2 linked regions of the Oryzias latipes genome follow. Each later gene encodes a partner of the first gene's protein in a complex. Links are inferred from orthologs where the notes say so. Each region holds a gene or a part of one and is shown on either strand. Other genes may lie near its edges.

Region 1 (3,449 bases):
TAAAGAACACCATTTTCATCGGAGTCTGTGTTTAAAGTAGGGCTATACAACAATAATCTGTATATGTTTTGAAGATATTCATATCAATCTGACATAGTTCACATACTGTAAAATTGTAAACAGGATAAGCTTCAACAAAAATATGCAGATCAATAACCTTGTAAAGGCCCTAAATTGGCTCATTGCAAAAATGAATGTTCTGCCTCTTCTGGAGGGTGTTTCCGTTTCGCCACCGTTACACTTTATTTTTGAAAATTGCAGCAAAAAACTGCATTAGACCGCAAATAGTTACTTAAAAAAGGTTTAAGTTTAAAGAGTTTGAAAAATTCCTGCCTGTGAGTTTATACAGCTGTTAGCTATTAGCTGTCCTATGGGAAATTCCATCATATGTTAGCATCAAGCAAGCAGACTATGGGTTTTCACAAAAGGAAAGGCATAAAAGATCGATTTCTACGTTTAGGGATCAATTATTAATTTATTTATCTCGATTTTATCAACCCAGCCCCACTTTAAAGCACTTACGCTTTGTGTTTTTGTCAGGTTTGGTTTTTTTCTTTTGCGACATTGTCACTTATTTTGTGGTAGATGTGCTTCCAGTCACTCTTCTTCTTCTCCACCCTCACTTGCTCCACCCCTCCTCTGTCTTGTCCGGTCTGCAGATCTACGTGGACACAGTTGGTCCGGCAGAGAAGTACGAGGAGAAACTTTCACAGCGGTTTCCTGGTATTGAGGTCACCGTTAGACCAAAAGCCGACTCCCTCTTCCCCGTCGTCAGTGCGGCCAGTATCTGTGCAAAGGTGAAAGGTCGATTAATCTTGTGTGTCGCATCTACCTGTTTGAAGTCAAATTTGAAACAAACGTACAGAAATTCATCATTTTGATTTCAAACACACTTTTAAAATGTCAACTTGAAGCAAAATGACAAAACCGCTTTTGTCTGTCAGATTTTTGGTTATTTAAAAGATGACCACATGTGTGAAAGGTTTATAGGTTTAGGCTAAACTTTTTCCATTTCTTCCAGTTTACATGATAGTTCCTGAGGGTTCAGAATACATTTTAGATGCTGATCACAACCTTGTTTTTGTTAAAAGATTGTATTTTCTCCTGCAAGAAGTTTCTGGATGGTCTTTACTTTCACTAAATCCAGGATGAGAAGCAGAGCTTTAAAATTTCAGATTCTCAATTTGCTGGATCAGTTGAGCTTAAAATGTTTTATCCAGATGAAACTTTTTCACTTCTTAATTATTTTCAGTGTGTTTGTTTCTGCTTTAATGTCCGGTCTGATTCGATTTAAAAAAATTGCTATTTTGTCACCAAAAAATGGTCAGGTTGCCAGGGACCGCGTTGTAAAAGGCTGGAAGTTTGCAGAAGATTTAGGAGACGTGGATGCAGATTATGGGTCTGGATATCCTAACGGTAACAGCAATGCGGGTCACAGGCCTTTTTTTTTTTTAAATCAGCATGAAAAATAGAAAGAATTGATAATCTGGTTTTGAGATTTCCTGTGTCCTGTCTATTCAGACCCAAAGACCAAAGCGTGGCTGCTGAAGTACCTGGACCCCGTGTTCGGGTATCCGCAGTTTGTGCGATTCAGCTGGAGTACAGCCCAAACTCTGCTGGATAGCAAGGCTGTGACGGTTCACTGGTAAACTCCTCCTCACCTTTGGCCTTTTTGTTCTCAGGTCTTTCAAGTCGACCAGAAGCTTCTAGAAATGATCAACCTGATTGAAATGATTAAACGTGTGCATTTAAATGCACTCTAAGGGAGTGGTCTCTAACCTATTTGTCTGACCTATCTAATGTCAGACAATATTTTCACGGTACAGTCTGTACCAGGCTGACGTCGACGTTTCCTTTGACCTTTAAGGGTAAAGTTTGTCTTCTTCCTCTCTAAAATATCCACAGCTGTATTTTTACACTAGATTTCATGTAGGAACCATTAAAACGTGATTTAGATTTTCTTAAACACATGGCTGAACACATAAGGTAAGATAAAAAAAATTCAACACCAACTTCAGCCTTTGAATACAAAAGTGGTCAAAAACACGGATATTTAATAGATATAATTAGAAACGTGAATCCATCTTTATTATCACCGTCCTCGTAACATTTGATAGTATTATTATGGTTTTTGGGAACAACTGTTGCAATAAATCCATATTTGGAGTAAAGACGCCTGATTTTTGTCTGTTGAATCCAGCTTCTGTTTCCTCACTGGCTCTTTTCTGCAAAAAGAAACGTTCTAAATACCTTAATTTTTTTATAACTTTGCTAACTTGAGGGTTTCAATTTAGCAGTCGATGCGGTCGCTTTGAGACACGTGACCGAGCAACTTGACGTGTCAAGAGCCAGTCGGATGGCGTGAGGAGTTTTTCCCGAAACAAAACTAACATCAGAATCGGATTATAAATGAGACAGGAAAAAAAAATAGGGTGTGGTTGTTTTTTTTCTGTGACGTGGTCCCAACTGTCTCACAGACTGGTACCGGCCCAGGGGGACCGCTGCTTCAAACCAGTGTGTAAAAAGCTCACTCCCGATGTCTGAAGCTCATGTGAGCTCAGGGTCTAACCTCCGTGTGACTGATGACCTTGTTGATTCCGTCCTCAGGGATGACGATGAAGAGGACGGGGAGAAGGCGGCCAAGCGGCTGAACAACAAGTCCATGCTGTCGTTCTTCAGCGCATCAGCTGGAAGTGACGACCAAAGCCGCCAAACGCACCGTTTCTTCACCGACAGGAGGCTGAGGGGCCTGAGCAGTCTCTAAACGCACTGTGACTAGTTTCCCTTTTTTTTTCTCCCTTCTTTTTTGCAATAAATTGTTCACAACTTGGAACAACAAATGCATCCCAGAAATTTTTGAACAAAAAACAGCTTCACAGCAAAGGTTGGTAGTTTTAATTCCACATCTGTCCCCCTAAGAAAATGTAAAATCGACTCAGGAGAAGCTTAACACTAAAAACAGGCTTTGTAGCTGACAATTTTTACATTTAATTAAAAGAAAAACACCCTGGTTTCTACAGCCACACAAACAAATTTTCCAATTCCTCAACACTTAGAGGTAAAAGTTTGTTTTTTTCTCCTTTTGGTTTAGAAAACTCCTCAGCTATAATGACACAAAAGGAGTATAAGGTCTGATGGTTTTTACTGCATAGCATAAAAAAAAAAAACCTTCAACTGCATCACTTTTAGTCCCAAAACGGCCAAAAGCGACCATCATCCAGATGTCAGAACAGTCTAGTTGAGATGGATCTTCATCTCCTTCGGTGTCCGCAGGCTTTTGTTCCTTGAAGACACTTTACACACGACATAACAAATACTGCATTTTACTAATAAAAAAAAACAATCCTGATGCTAATGTTCTTACAAAAATATATTCCTCCTTAGTTGCCGGGGTTGAACATAAATGGATCCTTGGTTTCTAGTTGCCGTTGGTTTTGTGTCTGGACTCC
Region 2 (4,062 bases), on another chromosome or scaffold:
TTTTTGGTTCCAGTAGCTGTGACAGAAAGCTGTGTTGTGTGATTGCCAGAAATACATTTCCAGAAAAGAGATATTTAAATTTTATTTATAAAAAAACGTGTCTATATGAAATGTTCCTGTGTAGATTTGAGCAGTGAGTTTTTGTTTTTTTTGGTCTTTTTAAGGGCATGTGTAAAAGACTGGTAAGCTGACCTGGTTGTCTTCATCCCATGGTGGCTGGAATAGGCTCCAGGGGCCCATGACCCTGTCAGGACAAAACAGGTACTGATAATCATCCAATCTAATCAACAAATCAACCAATAACATTTTTTTTATTAAACATCTCAGAGAAGTTCATCATTGTATACTTTCCTTTTCATTTATGAACCACCAGAGCATCCGTGTAAGTGTTTTATGTTCAAACGTCTTTGTGATCAGGTGGACATTTTACAGCTGAAGAGTCAAAAAAGGAAAATTCTAGCAGCAAACATGGATTTTCCCTTCTCCCCATCTAATAGTTGAGTAAACTTTGCTTCAATTAAATGGTCTTGTAGCAAATCTCTCATTAAAGAATACATTAATAAAGAAATCTAAGCTCAAAATTACATTTCTGAGTTGTCTTATTTAATTTTTTGCGCATCAGGATCAGACAAAAATTACCATTGGAAAACTTCTAGTTGGAATGTAAAAGCTACACTTGGCAGGTCACTGGCTCCCTGCTCTGCTCCTTTCTGATGGATCCATTTGTAAACAACTTGATACACATACGTCTTTGTTTTCCTTGTCTGAACTGGCGTCTGGCTCAAAACTGTATGACTGGATGGCTCCAATATTTTAAAATAGAACACAATATTTGTGATGTTTAGATTTTTCAAACTCCTAAATGACATTTTTCTATTAATTTGAGTATTTAATTGTATGTTTTTATAGTTCTGCATGCCAGTTAAACTAGTCGTAAGAAAATACACCAAAAAGAATACAATGAAACAGATTTTATTGATTTTTCAAACTTAAATTAAAGGCCTTGGAAATAAGTCAGAATAGTTTTAAACAACAGTTTTATGTTATATAAGATATTAAACACGCAAATTATTGAACGTTTGATATGAATGAATTCAAATATCAAGTCTGAAGGCGAAAACACGAGGCAAAGCATTAAAACAAAACAGCTGAAGTAGAGCAGAACAGTAACCACCAGGGGGAGACATCTGTTCGCAAAGGAGAAAAAACCCGCCAAAACAGAATTCAGCGTAGAAGAAGTGACATTCACCGTCCAATCACGAACGGCTCCCTAAACCTACCCGGAAGATCAACTTTTCATGTCACACTCTTATATGCAATACAGTCGCCATAAAGGTACTGGTAATCTTATCGTTTCTTTGTCCACTCCGGATTAAATGCTGCAAACAGTCACTGTTATTAAAAGCGTTTAACTGCAGGAGCGTCGAATACTGTTCGATTAAATGTATTGGTGAAAAGCTTTAGACACAAAGGTTCAAACACACTTCTCCAAAAACACTGCTTCACACATATTTAATTTAAGAGCACGCGCATTTTTTTACTGCTAAATTTAAGTGCGTATATCATATTTTCCCGTAATAATTAAATATATACTTAATAAGTATGAACTTAATGGTCGAAATAAGGTAAAACAACTATGGTCTTAAATTAAGGCAAAATGGTTGTAAAGGCTTTAAATACATCAAATAATACTCTAAATCTTAATGAATTAAATTTTTAGAGCAATTTACCAGGATTTTATCAGCTAATTAGGAGGTTATAGATACTGTACAAGAAGAGGTGCATCTTGATTGATCATTTCTTTATGTAAATTAATTTCATTCATTAAATAATTTTTAATTATTTATGTTTTAAAAATGCAAATGGTACTTGACTAAGCAGACACTATTCATTAGAGATAAAATAAGTCATAATGAAGGAAATAAAGTGAAATGATATAAAAACCCTGCAAAATCTGACATTAAACTACCCTCTTAGAATCAGAAGTACATAATTTATCCCACACCGGGGAAATTTGTGTGTTACTGTAGCAGTAAACATATGAGAAAATGGTATAATATAAAAACAATAATTAAAAAAAAAATGTAGCAGAAATGTAAACAAATAAGGCGGTATAACATTAACTACGACTTGCTGTGGCAAGTTTATTTTAATGTGATAATATTTTCAAAGCTTATAGCTTTTAAATAGATGCCCGTGTAATTGTTAATGATTGTAGAAAAAGAAGGTAAAGGTTACTAATAAAGGTATTTTGAGTGGATGCATAAATATGTCTTTTTTTCTTTCTTGTTACGTTGCTGCAAGATGTCCTGTCACTCCAGCGTCACTCATCTCCACGTGTCTCCTGTGGGACAGGCAGAGCGAGTCCCGGTCCATCTCCTCCCTTGTGAGATTGAACACAATGGGCCTGCCCAGGTCTCACAGTACTTTACTGCAACCATGAAAGATCACAAAGGAGGTACTTGGAATTTTGTCTGAAATCTAAAACCTCTAAGACCTGTAAACACTCCTGAAGTAAGGGGCACTAGCAAAGCCACGACAGGATTGCAAAACAAAGAGAAATGACACCAAAATTATGTCCAGTAGCAATTTTTACTGGTTTGCAGAAAACTATCTTGCGCAATATTGTTTTCTGATTTTTATGTATTTTTTACAATGAGTGATTGTGGGATTTTAAAACAGCAAATACCGTAAATAGCTGCATTTAGCATTGTAAATATAATGGACTTTCTTATAACAGTCAAGGCCGTCTCATTCAGAGGACGCGGGCTGAAAGGTCAGGAGATCTGCTGTCCAGCAGGATACACAGGCCTGGTACTTAAAGACACCAACAAGCCTGGCTCTGACCAGGAGGTAAGCACCTCCCATGACATGTTTCAGAACTAAAAAAGGAATACTGTCACAAGCTGAAAAATGTTTTTTCATGCTGTGGCATGAAGCATAGGTCTAACGATTCTGATGCTTCAATGACTTTGTATCTCTCAGGACAGGATAGTTAGAGTCTCCTCTGTGTTTGATAAACTGACCTACTGGAATCTGGACAATCCTCCAACCTCTGATGACACTGTGGTGATGGCCATGGATTGGCCGGAACTTGCTGAGGCGGTAAGAACATGTCGCAGTTGACCTCAAATCTATAGTTATACCAATCTGCTCCTTACAATAAATCACTGTGATCAAAAACAAACTAAAGAAAATGCATTCTAGTGAAATGTTTTTTTAGTTTTCCTCTTTTTTTATGCTCAAAATCAGTCCCAGCGAGTTTTTCTGTAAATATCTTCTAGGGCACACATGCTGCTTTAGACTTCAATCATGAGTACACAAATATATTTAGCAAACATTAACATTTTAAATAAAATGTAATCATTTTAGTAAATATATCAAATTTAACTCATGTTTTTTTGTTTCTCATTTTCTGTCCAACTGGAGGATCACTTGCATTTGCTGATTCTTTGTCTTTTTTCCAGATACACGAGCCAATAGACGAGTGACGTGATGGAAATACTATTTTAATGGGCCGGCAGACAAATGTCATATTGACATGTGAAATGCACCTTTTATCCCACATGTTTTTCAACCACCAACCTTATAAAACGCTCTGCTATGGCAGAGCGATCAGTTACATAGAGCAGTGTTAACGAAATGATACCTGAATGAGGTTTGTGTTTGTTTGTACATAAATAAAAAACGTAAAGACTTGCAAAAGTGAAATGTTTGATCCTCTGTAACACAACTAACTTTTACATGTTTAACTGGACGGCGTTTATTCACAAGATAACACTGGTAGCCATGAAAGCATTACTGTAACATTGTGTCATAAACACAAAGTCCTATAAGATGAAAAATGATTGGCTTTGACTTGACACATTTCACAGAACGAAGCCTACAACATGGAAACTATTGACACTGTGGTTCTGTCAAAAAGTTTGAGAACAAAAATTGAAAGAAAAAGAAACAGCCTGGATACATGTAAACCATGAGGGGAGTCATTATGAAGGAACTATTTGGAATTTAGTAAAAAGAAATTCCATCCATCCACTTTCCAAAACCGCTTTGCTCCTG

The links. Proteins that work in one complex are often made in the same cells at the same time.
Region 2: the proteins of rnaseh2a (region 1) and rnaseh2c are in contact, whole or in part, in a crystal structure (PDB 3PUF), measured with the Homo sapiens proteins. The link is inferred for Oryzias latipes from reciprocal best matches to the Homo sapiens genes RNASEH2A and RNASEH2C. Residues at the interface, in NP_006388.2 of Homo sapiens: Thr11, Asn99, Ser102, Thr103, Leu106, Gly107, Arg108, Val109, Val196, Glu197, Lys198, Leu199, Glu225, Pro226, Val227, Phe228, Gly229, Phe230, Pro231, Gln232, Phe236, Leu245, Ala249, Glu250, Asp251, Val252, Ile253, Trp254, Glu255, Asp256; in NP_115569.2 of Homo sapiens: Pro33, Cys34, Glu35, Val36, Ala37, Val38, Ala42, Pro43, Val44, Gly45, Arg46, Phe47, Phe48, Pro50, Ala51, Arg53, Ser62, Phe63, Arg64, Gly65, Arg66, Cys67, Leu68, Leu134, Glu135, Thr136, Lys143, Gly146, Ala147, Thr149.

Annotation. Positions count from the first base shown.
Region 1 is NC_019859.2:10,610,948-10,614,396, reverse strand, and holds the end of rnaseh2a (ribonuclease H2 subunit A), read left to right. Parts: intron 1-659; coding exon 660-797; intron 798-1,328; coding exon 1,329-1,416; intron 1,417-1,521; coding exon 1,522-1,645; intron 1,646-2,607; coding exon 2,608-2,764; 3' UTR 2,765-2,861; downstream 2,862-3,449. UniProt on the Homo sapiens protein: Catalytic subunit of RNase HII, an endonuclease that specifically degrades the RNA of RNA:DNA hybrids. Participates in DNA replication, possibly by mediating the removal of lagging-strand Okazaki fragment RNA primers during DNA replication.
Region 2 is NC_019868.2:12,026,777-12,030,838, forward strand, and holds rnaseh2c (ribonuclease H2 subunit C), read left to right. Parts: upstream 1-1,221; 5' UTR 1,222-1,335; intron 1,336-2,304; coding exon 2,305-2,458; intron 2,459-2,740; coding exon 2,741-2,853; intron 2,854-2,985; coding exon 2,986-3,105; intron 3,106-3,467; coding exon 3,468-3,491; 3' UTR 3,492-3,705; downstream 3,706-4,062.